2 linked regions of the Arabidopsis thaliana genome follow. The gene in region 2 interacts genetically with the main gene of each other region. Each region holds a gene or a part of one and is shown on either strand. Other genes may lie near its edges. The genes, in order: BRI1 and MYB30.

Region 1 (6,804 bases), on a different chromosome or scaffold from region 2:
TAGTATATAAGAAGCATGTATTTATAATGTTCCACTTAATATATTAGTATTGGAGACTAAAGCGAACATATAAAACCCAAATAAACCTTTCTTTAAGTTTTATTAAAAGTCTAAACACTTGATTTGTGTTTTAGTTTGGGTAGTAGTGAGAAAAGAAAAATAAATAATCAAAAAGATTAAAGAAGAAAGAATTTGAAAGCAAGGAACACGAAATCCGAAGAGCGAGGGGAGCGAAGACAGTCCACGTAGCTGCAGAGAGAAAGAGAAGAGCACGTGAGGCACACGTTCCTTGTGTAAGACTTGTTGTGGTGATGTTGGCGCAGTGTCTCACTGAAACATGAATGAAACCCAGACTTTGTTTTAATTTCAGGCGAAGGTCCATTTCTCCATGTTATATATCAATCTCTTATTTATTAGTAGCAAAATTGTTTAAACTTTTTAAAATCCATTGATCACCCTATCATTTTCAATATCTACATACAATCTTATGTCTCGATAAAGGTTTATCTTTATCTTATTATGCAATACATATCCCTCCCATTTCTATATTGCAAATTATGACATCAAAAAACCATTCTTTTGATTCTACTTGGGCCAATAACAAAATCAATAGTAATGGAAAAAATAACGTAGATGGATATAAATATAGTCCAACGGTTCAATTTCATCAGTAATAAGTATATAGCAAAAAAAAAAACGTTTAACTCAGCATAGTTCAAAAGGGACCACATTGGTCATGTAAATATAACATCCATAAAAACAAATTTAAGTCTCATCTATTCTCACTTTCCCATTCCCGTGCAGTGTGAATTCCCCAAATTAATTCCGACAATAATGAATTAATAGGTCACGTGCATTTACATGAACATGATCAGTCGAAATTTAATACACATTGGCTCTTTGTTTCTTCATGATTCATTATAAATTTAATTTGTTAGCAACGTAGAAATTTCCATAGAACTAAAAACGAAAACATTACAAATCCCTCCCCAAAAAACTGTATATTTACATATTCTTAACAAAGTTATTACTTAGTTCTATTCTCCACCACCCCCAATTCGACCGAGCCCGAAAAAAAAAACATCCGTCTTATGTATAAATAACATAGATACATACACTTAGCATATAGTAGAAAATACAAAAAAAATAGACCCAAGGAAAATCGGACTGACCCTTAGATGATTTTGATGTTCAAAGAATCTGCTTTGGCTCTGTTTCTAACTCTCATAATTTTCCTTCAGGAACTTCTTTTATACTCATATCAACCATCTCTATTGTACTGAACCCTCCATCCTCTATTGATCTGATCGTTGACTGTGAATCTATCCCTGACCCGGCTTGTATCTCCTTAAACATGGCCATGACTTGTACCATTGTCGGTCGTCTCCAAGCCCGATCATCCAAACACGCAACCGCAACTTTTAAATGTTGTAAAAGTTCGATCTCTAATGCTGGATCTTCCTTCATAAGCTCGGGGTCAAACACATCGCTAATCCGCAGTTTTGCGTGCTGTTTCACCCATCCAACAAGGTTGTTATCTCCAAAATCCGGTGAATCCGTTGGCCGTTTACCCGTGAGTAGCTCGAGTAAGACCACACCGTAACTATAAACGTCTCCTTTTGTTGAACACCTGAAACTTTGGTAATACTCTGGAGGAACGTAACCCGGTGTACCAGCTAATGTACTGACGCTTAAATGCGTATCCATCGCACTCATCAGCCTCGCCATGCCAAAATCTGAAACCCGAGCTTCCAAATTCTCATCAAGCAACACATTACTGGATTTCATGTCTCTGTGGATGATATGCGGACTGCAGTTGTGGTGAAGGAAAGCAAGCCCTCTAGCTGATCCTATCGCAATCTTCCGCCGTGTGGACCAGTTTAGTTTCACCCCAGCTTTCTTGGGGTCGTGCAAAACATCTTCTAAACTTCCATACTTCATAAACTCATACACAAGAAGCCGCTCGTCTCCAACTTTGCAATAACCAAGAAGAGGCACAAGATTTCGATGTTTGATCTTCCCAATGGTTTCCATCTCCGCCATGAACTCTCTATCACCTTGACCGCTAACATGAATCAGTTTCTTGATAGCCACCGCGCTTCCATCTTTCAAAATCGCTTTGTAAACATCTCCAAACCCACCAGAACCAATCAGACTATCATTATGGAAACCATTGGTAGCCTGAAGAAGATCCGCAAACGTGAGCTTCCGCAATGGCTTCTCGAAAGCAGCAAGATTGATACTCAAGGCTTCTTTCACACCAGTCAGCTTCCAATTGGTGTTGTTAGCAGTTCTATCGCCAGAGTTTCCATGTCCTTCCGCATACATCTCCAACTCCGCCTCTTTCTTTCTCCGTCTCTTCCTCATCTCTCTACCAACAAGGATCAGCCCAAATATACACACAAAAGAGAACAACAATCCCATCGCCACACTACCAGCAAGGGACGCTGGTCTCCTTCCATGAGATCTCTGATGATGAGCATAACCGTCTGCATTTGAAGGATCACACCGCGGAAGAGGATAACCACAGAGACCAGGATTGTTCAAGAACTTAGCCGGTGGAAAAGTCTCAAACTGACCCATCTCAGGAATCGGACCAGACAAATTATTATTCGACAAATCGATTTCCGTAAGCATAGTAAGAGCTGACATAGCCTGAGGAATCCTCCCATCGAGCTTATTGCTTGAAAGATCAAGAATGTTTAAACCTCTTAGATCACCTACCTCATCAGGAATCGAACCAGAGATATCGTTATGACCCAAATTGAGAATAAACAGATAAGGCATCGAACCAATCTCCTTCGGTATGTATCCAGACAACATGTTGTAAGACATGTCCAGAAACATCATCGAACCATTGTTATCAAACGTCGGCGAAGTGTGACCTCCATAGACTCTGCTAGTGATATTACAAGGGTTCCTCGTTGAAAGCCGGTTTAATTGTTCGGATCTGATTCCTTGAAACTCAAGTAAATTACCAGCTCCATGACACTCTTTCTTCATCCCATCGTTTTTGATATAAACGTACCTCTTACCGGCGATGAAATTGGCAGCGATTTTCCCGGATTGTTTAAACATCGCCGCCGGAATCGTTCCATTGAAGAGATTGGTGTTGAGATCAAGCCAGATTAAGCTTCTGCAGTCGCCGAGCTCAGCCGGAATGTTCCCGGAGAATGAATTGTTGCTTAGCTTGAGGATAGCGAGATTCTCTAACCGGCCAATCCATTTCGGAATCTCACCGGTTAACCGGTTATTCGACAGAGAAATCCAGTTAAGATTGGTACAGTTACTTAAACCGGAAGGGATTTCACCGGTTAAATCGTTGAAGTCGAGGATCAGAGTCTCTAAGGTCTTGACATACATGAGCTCCTGAGGGATCTCTCCTTCTAACATATTCAGCCATAGTTTCAGATCTCGAAGCTTCGATAGAGAGCCTAAGCTCGAAGGGATTGTCCCGGAGAGGTAATTGAAGCTCAAGTGAAGCGAAACCAGCTCAGAACAGTTGCTTAAAGTCGGTGGAATCTTCCCGGTGAAGCCATTGTTCTGAAGGTAAAGCTCCTGCAGAGTGTTTTTAGGGTTCTGGCAGAGATTTGGGAGAATCGGACCGGAGAAATTGTTGGAGCTGAGATCTAACGTTAGCAACGAAGCGGATAGATTCGTCAGAGATTCCGGTAATTCGCCGGAAAACTCGTTGAAAGACAGATCAAGTACTTTGAGTCCTCTCATCTTCAACAACGTATCCATCGGTAACTCGCCAGAGAAGTTGTTACTCGACAACGCGAGTGATTCGAGAAGAGAACATGAACCGAAGAATGGAGGAACCGCACCGTAGAAATGATTTCCAGAGAGATCGAGACCAGTGAGTGTATCACACGCGCCGGAGAGAAAGTCAGGGATCTCGCCGGTGAATTTGTTCTCGGCCAGAGAGAGGTATTGGAGACTTTTAAGCGGTAGCGGAGGGATTGGTCCGACGAATTGGTTACTAGAGATGTTCAACAACTTGAGCTCTGTGCAAGTAGAGATAGCACGGGAGAAATCGCCGGATAATTTGTTCCCGGAGATGTCAAGATGTTGCAGAGCAGAGCAATCTCCGAGGAAAGGAATCCCAGTGGAGAAATTGTTGGAGGAAACATCGAGAAACTCGAGATTCACGCAGCGAGAAACATCGACGTCTCCACTGATTTTGTTTCCGCTAATCGCTAAATGTTTCAACTCTCCACACCCATCGGAGAGAACCCAACCAACGACGTTAGCACCGGAGATTGAATTCGCAGAAAGATCCAGAACTTCCAAGCTGTTTAGCTTCAACCCACCTGAAACTTTCCCGGGAAAATCAAGTGTATTGGAAGAGACGTTAAGAAACTTCAGACCGGAGCAAGAACCAAGGCTTGTTAGAGTCGTTACAGGACCCGAAAGAGAGTTTCTAGATAGATCCAAGCTGGTTAAAGAAGCAGAGCACTTGAAGCCAGAAACGGAGCCATTGATGTGTGAGTTTGAGAGAAACAGAGACTCTAATCCGGTGAGAGACAGGAGAGACGAGGACACGGCACTGAATCCGACGTTGAGAGGCTTGGAGCTGAGATCAATCGAAGTAACTTTGTCGTCTCTGCAAGTAACGCCATCGAAAGTACACGGGTTTTTGTTGGAAGACCAGTCTGGGAGAAGATTCTTGTCAGGAAGAACGTCTTTGAAGCTTATAAGCTGATGGATTTCTCTGTATAAAGACTGAGATGGTGAAGCTTGAAATGAAAGAGAAAAGAAGGAGAAGAAGAAGAGAGTTGTTACAGAGAGAAAGAAGCTTGAAAAAGTCTTCATTTCTCAAGAGTTTGTGAGAGAGAAAAGTGTGGGAAGTAGAGAAGATGAAAGGGGGAATCTAGGGTTTTGGTTCCACCATTAGAGAGGAAGTGGAAGCTCTAGAGATAGAAAGAGAGAGATTGAGGAAAGCAGAAAGAGAGGAGAGAGAGAAGAGAGTCAAAAGACAGAAGAAGGAAGATGGAAGAAGGTATTTATCAAATGGTGAAGGGAAGAGTGGTCACAGCTGTGCACTCACATGCCATGTTACCTCTTCTTCTGATTATTATAAAAATTATATATATTAATTTCAATTTCGATAACAGATACAAACAAATAATACTACTTTTAATTATTGTATGTGGTTATAAAAAAAAAGTTAATTAATGCAAGAGGATACTAAAAATAAATAAAATAATGGCATCACAAAATCCTTAATCTCATAGTAGCTTTTGTTAAGTTTAAGTTAAAGAAATGAGGTATTTTGTCTGTACATGAGAGAGGTGTTTAATTAACGTGAGATTAGGGGATGGGATCAAGTCTTCTGCAAGCTACATATCCTACTTACCCTTTTTAAACTCTTCTTAAGACTTTATTGTAACATTTGTATACATTTTACCCCCAACCACCTATCTCTTGATTCTCTTCTCAATATTTTTAAAACACAAGTCTAATCTGATCTTCTGTTTAGTGCTGGGTTTTTTTTTATAATAAGCATATATATTCATTGATTTTTATTTTTATTAAAAAAAAAATCAAGATAATTCATGTTATATTTTTCTTCTTACTTGGTTGGATCTTGATCGGTGAATTATTGGTGTATGCACTCACTGTCACCCAATATGCAAAACTTTTGATTCTGATATAAAGATGCCAGCAACTAACTAATTCCACATTTATGGACTAATGGTTAAGTAGTGTTCAGTAAAAATGGAACATAGTATAAGCATCTAAATTTCTTTTATATTGATACTCATATACAACAAGATTTGGAGCATTCAATGTGATAGTTTGAAAGAGTTCAAATTTACTTTAATGTTAAGGTAATACATACATATTTTTACATGAATTTCACACCAACCACAAACATTTCACATTAACACTCTTCTCTTGTTCACTCTCACTTGTATCTGAAAGAAAAACTAAAAATAAAGTGGAGGAGAGATTGTCTCTATAGCTTTTTGCAAAAGAGAAACAAAAAAAAAAACGAACGTACGTGTGAGAGACGATTGGGACATGAGTGTCAATTAATGGCAGATTCCATCTCTTTTTAATAATCAGAGAAGTATTATTATTAGTTTTCGATAAACCTTTTCCCACTAATTAATCCCTCCTTTCACTTTTAAACTGCTTTCTTTTTCTCTGGCACTTACATAGACGGATAGACCAAACTTCTCTTAAAGCCTTATTCTATTATTTTTTCCTTCTGTCGCAGTTTTATAGAGATATTTCGTAATTATGTACAAACCCTACGTGCAGCTGTACCCGGTGTATACATAGTTACATAATTAACAAAAAATTCACTTTATACACATAGTTTTGGGTAACAGGAACTTGACTACTTGAGTAGTAAACTTTTCAATTAAATTCGAGATATGTTACTATCACTTTAACTTTTGTAGAGAAAATGTCGTCTGCAATGGTAACTGGTTTGAAGGTTCAACTTTCAGCGAATAATACTGCGATACCATTTTCAAATAAAGAAGGAAGATCATAGAGAATGACATTTGTGTAACTATCTATCGCAAGTGTAACACTTTTTTTGGAAGGTTTGTATAAGTACAATTGAACAGAAAAACAAACAACCTGATAGAATACTATATTGGTACAAGTAACTTTTTAAATACAAACTGAATGAAAAGTATGTTTAGTGATGTATTAATTTCGTATAATAGAACATTTTATTCTATAATGTCATCATAATCAAGCAAAACGCCAAAATAGTGTAATGATTCTAACTTCCAAAAAAGGGACGAAACTGTCCTCCCCACACTCTCATTTATAAGCGCTCGT
Region 2 (4,745 bases):
TCTTTCTAAGTTTCTTACCATCGGCATAACAAGTGGCAATATCTTAAAAACCAAAGGAGAAGCTAAATTAATGGCGATATTGACTTCTTCATACTTAGTAACTATGTGATGTAAGTCACACAACTCACAAGGTCACAAGAAAGAAAGTCAAACTTTAATTCTTCATCACTTTCAATATTTATAGTGCCAATCCATCCCGTTTTTAAAATTTATATTTATCTTTTTATAATTAGTTTCTTTAAACCTTGTCGGCCCTATTTATTTCATGCAATAAATATTTCGTTAATTTTTCTTTACTAGTACTATTTTCTTTATTAGTAGGTCTTTCAAATTCACCAATAGTAAGGCTATCTTTAAATCTAAGATTTCATTTATTGAGCGGCGCCATTTGACACTCTAAAATAAATGTTAAGTGTTTTCCTTAGTGAGTTAACGGTTAATTTAAGGAAAATAAATTGACAATTAAGTGCAAGTTGTAAGTATTTGATTATTAATTCTATATCCCACACTTACTAGGCTACTACACATTAGGACTAATTAATCCGGATATGAGCGAGCATTTTTTGGTCATTCTCCAATATATATATGTAATTTTTTTGTCAGTGTATGTTTAATTTGTAACAGAATTACTTTTAGGTTAACATCTCAAAAGTAAATCATACTTACAAGTTACAAAGCAAAAGAAAAATCAAGCAATAACAACATTTTAATAAATAAAAAATAGATATAGGATTTTACACCAATACTACTAAAATCATTGGGTGGACATTTTTCAGGCCCCTTCAGAATTCACAGGGCCATATATAAAACAACCCCATCATTAATTGTAAATTAAAGAGGGAAAATAAATAAAATTATTACTGATTTATCTCACGATAATCTAAGCGAGTTAATTTGGAAAACCCAAAAAAAAAAATAGAGATGAGGATCCTAAAATTAGAACCATGTGATTAAAGCAAACTCTTCAGAAGAAATTAGTGTTTTCATCCAATAGAATATCACCAATCTGTCCACCAGAATCCTCAAACAACCACTTCTCAAACAAAGACCATTGACTTTGGTTACTGCAGCATCCAGTTATGTCTGGTTTGGTCTCATGATCAGGTGAAACACCAGCCTGTTGATATGAGTGATCAAACTCAGAAAATGACTGAAATGCCCCTGCACACTCCTTCCCATCATCACTCTTGATCACTTCTTTTACCTCTGTAGAAGCGATTTGATCCGCGGAGTTTTGAGTCTTCGGCGAGTTTTTCACCCACCCTTTGAGCAATTTCGCGATATTTTCGGTGCTTGAGGCATAAGTTGTAGATGTTTCTTGCGTCCTAAGAAACCCGCTAGCTGAGGAAGTAGAGCGTCTTGATTCAGCAGAGGAAGACGTTGTTGTCACTGTAGATGTAATGATTGGTGCAACGGCAGGAGATAAAGCCTCAGAGAGAGCCTTTTTCGCCAAGTGGATATCGGTTTGAAGTCGCCTTTCCCATTGGCCTCTTGAGATGTTTGAGTTGGAATTAGCAGAAGAAGACGATGGTGAAGATGAGAGCGAGGAACGGTCAAGTTCTTGATGAGAATCTTGATTGACTTTGTTGAGTTTCTTCTTCAAATGAGTGTTCCAATAGTTCTTAATGTCATTGTCTGTCCTTTGTGGAAGATATGACGCAATTGCAGCCCATCTACACCAAATATTAAATGCTCTCTATTAAAAATCAAAACAAATCTTCTAATTTTCGAAAGAAAATGTGTGAAGAGACAAAATTAGAGAAATTGAAAAGTCATTATTATTTTTTACCTATTTCCTAAGAGGGCTTGGAGATGAACAATCATCTTTTCTTCATGTTCTGTGAAATTGCCTCTTTTGATTCCTGGCCTTAAATAGTTTGTCCATCTAAGTCTACAACTCTTGCTGCATCTAAGCAGCCCTGAAAATTTATAAGAACGAACAAATATTGAGAACCGATGAGAAAATATATAAATAACAAGATCTCATGCATTAGATCTTAATTTCATGGTCAATAAACAAAACCCTAATTTCTACATATGTTTTCATTAAGCTGATTCCACAATCTTAAAGACCTAAAGAAGAACCAAATGAAGATCAAAACCAATTTGGAGAACACAAATTTCAATCCAAACCAATTTGATTCCTTGTCTATCTCTCACTCTCATAGATTAAATCCAAATAATATCTACATACAAATCTATAGAGAGGTAGAGAGGAGAGATGATGAATGAAGATTATACATACCAGTATTGGTAGGAACAGCTCTCCAATTACCAGGACCATGTTCTTGGATGTAAGTGACTAAAATGATATCTTCTTCAGGAGTCCATGGCCCTTTCTTCACTCCTCCTTTGTCACAACAAGGAGGCCTCACCATTATGATCTTGAACTCCCTTAATTAACTAATTAATTCTTTATTAACCACTCCCTTTGTTTCCCACTATAACTCTTTGCCAAGAAAAATAGAAGAAAATTGAAACTACTTTAGGTGGTAATGAGTCACACTACCCTTAGTACACTAATTAGTACGCTTAGCTCTGAAATGGATCTAATGGTTAAGCTTGGCGACAAAGGTCTATGTCCACTTCTTCTTCTATATATATATATAAAAGGAGAAAGAGAAATTTGCTGACCCCTCTTGGTCTTGGACTCTTGGGTCTCTCAAATTGTATAGATAATAAATAAAAGTATATAAAAAATGTGTAAAGCATTAACTACAAAAGTGGAGGTAAAGCCTCCAAAGTCAGCTGTGTGGCAAAAGGAAAAGTCTCTACCCTCCATACAAAACCGCGTGGCATTCAATGTGGGCTTGCTTCTTTCAAAAACCCTAATAACACAAACAAAAAAAATATTATTGGGTTTAATAATTTATTGGTTTATGTTATTATTAAAAAATAAAGAATAATGGGGACATGCATGATAACATGATAATGATATATGATATGATATCTCCCTCTCTCACTTTTGATTTATTGCTACGATAATTTTAAGAATTGAATAGTGGCTATTGCATTTATGTGTATTGCATAGGCTTTGTTAATAATAGAAATTAATGAAAGGGTCTTTTGACGAACGAGATTTTCTCTGCGTCATGATTTGCTGTTTTGGTTGTTTTTTTATCAAAACGAATAGTTTTTTTTTTTAAGATATAGAAGAAAAGAAAAAATTGCTGTTTTGGATTGAACCAGTGGGTCTTTGGCCATTGTCAAACTACATGATGGTCTACGTCATTCATGATGTTAGCGACTTCTCCATATATAGATTTATATGCGTTTATATGTATTACGTTACATAAACATATATGAATACATGATGTTGAACGTTTTATTCGGGTAAGGTTCGCGATTAGTGTTAATGGACCACAATTTGAGTTTATAGTAAACATAGTTTTAGATGGAATTAATTGTACGTTACATATGTCGTTATCGTAGGTGGTGAAAAGAAATATAGAGATATTTGTATGAGAATTTGGTATACAAGATAATGAAGATTTTTGGATTTGATAGACACAAGTCATACAGCCACATTAAGTTTTGATGAAATTAATTGTACGTTATATATGTCAATATCGTAGGTGGTGAAAAGAGATTAAGAGATATTTGTATGAGAATTTGGTATAGTAGATAATGAAGATTTTGGATTGATAGACACAAGTCATATACAACTATATCTATTTATGTGAACATGTGTATGTATGTAAATGTCAACAAGTAAAAAGGATGAAATCAATTTGGTTTTCACGAGGCCGGAAGAAAAGGAAGAAGAAGAGACACGAGACTACTTTAATTTCTTCTCTTTTGTCAATGTTGTGCTATAATTTATTTATATAGGTAGGAATTTTGAATGACAATTTGTACAAGTGTGAAATTTTCACTTTGTGGAAAGTTTATGATTTACGTTAGATATAATAATAAAGTTGTGTTAAACAGGCTGTTTAATCAAACATATGGAATGAAACTCGAAAAGGTTTTTGTCTACATAACCACTTTGAAAATGCATGGTCTTTCTTTAATCATAAACAAAACTGCTTAAGTATGTTTTTTTTCCACGTACAATGTCCCGTTTTCTGTTTAACCATTAGTAAAACGGTAAGTAGATATCTTACTGTTTTCATTTGTATTATTTTTATTTACTAAGAAGTAATTTTTATCCATTAAAAATATAGATATATTTTTTAAAGAAATATTAAATTATATTCAAAGAAAAATAACATTTGTACCGTGAAATTGAAATGAGGTACAAGAATTTGCTACTTAATTTCGAGAGTCGAACCAAGTTTGTAATCCTTTGTAATTTTGTTTTGTTTACAGGTTAGATTCGTATCTTTTGGATTTGAAATTTTTTTAATTTTTTTTTTACAAGTTCATCATTACATTGAATTATCACTCCTTGCCATAATATTTTAGTACCAAGTTGCAAATCCGAATTTTTATTGAATGTAATTATGTAATACGAAAATTCGACGGCCACAAAAATGGGAGATGTATACTTTATAATATATTGTAATAGATTTGGTATTTTCTTTTACTAGTATATATTATTTCACATAACGCATTCAAGTGTAAGGATATGAATCATCATAATAAGTATGGAGGTGGAATATAAAGAGGCATAATATTCTTGAAAAATATACATAAGAAATGATTTGAGATTACGATTTATATTAAATGACAACTTCTTAATAACATGGAATGCATGTGTGATGTATGGATGGTGCTTGTGATGTAGGGACGGGACAAACACA

Evidence for each region.
Region 1: of MYB30 (region 2) and BRI1, changing one enhances a phenotype caused by changing the other (phenotypic enhancement), as found in Arabidopsis thaliana (one study listed by BioGRID).

The regions. Positions count from the first base shown.
Region 1 is NC_003075.7:18,322,837-18,329,640, reverse strand, and holds BRI1 (Leucine-rich receptor-like protein kinase family protein), read right to left. Parts: upstream 5,185-6,804; 5' UTR 4,816-5,184; coding exon 1,225-4,815; 3' UTR 810-1,224; downstream 1-809. Other genes in the region: PLS (polari), read left to right, coding at 342-452. UniProt on the Arabidopsis thaliana protein: Receptor with a dual specificity kinase activity acting on both serine/threonine- and tyrosine-containing substrates.
Region 2 is NC_003074.8:10,909,076-10,913,820, reverse strand, and holds MYB30 (myb domain protein 30), read right to left. Parts: upstream 2,690-4,745; 5' UTR 2,379-2,689; coding exon 2,246-2,378; exon of another isoform or gene 1,920-2,245; coding exon 1,790-1,919; intron 1,674-1,789; coding exon 965-1,673; 3' UTR 631-964; downstream 1-630.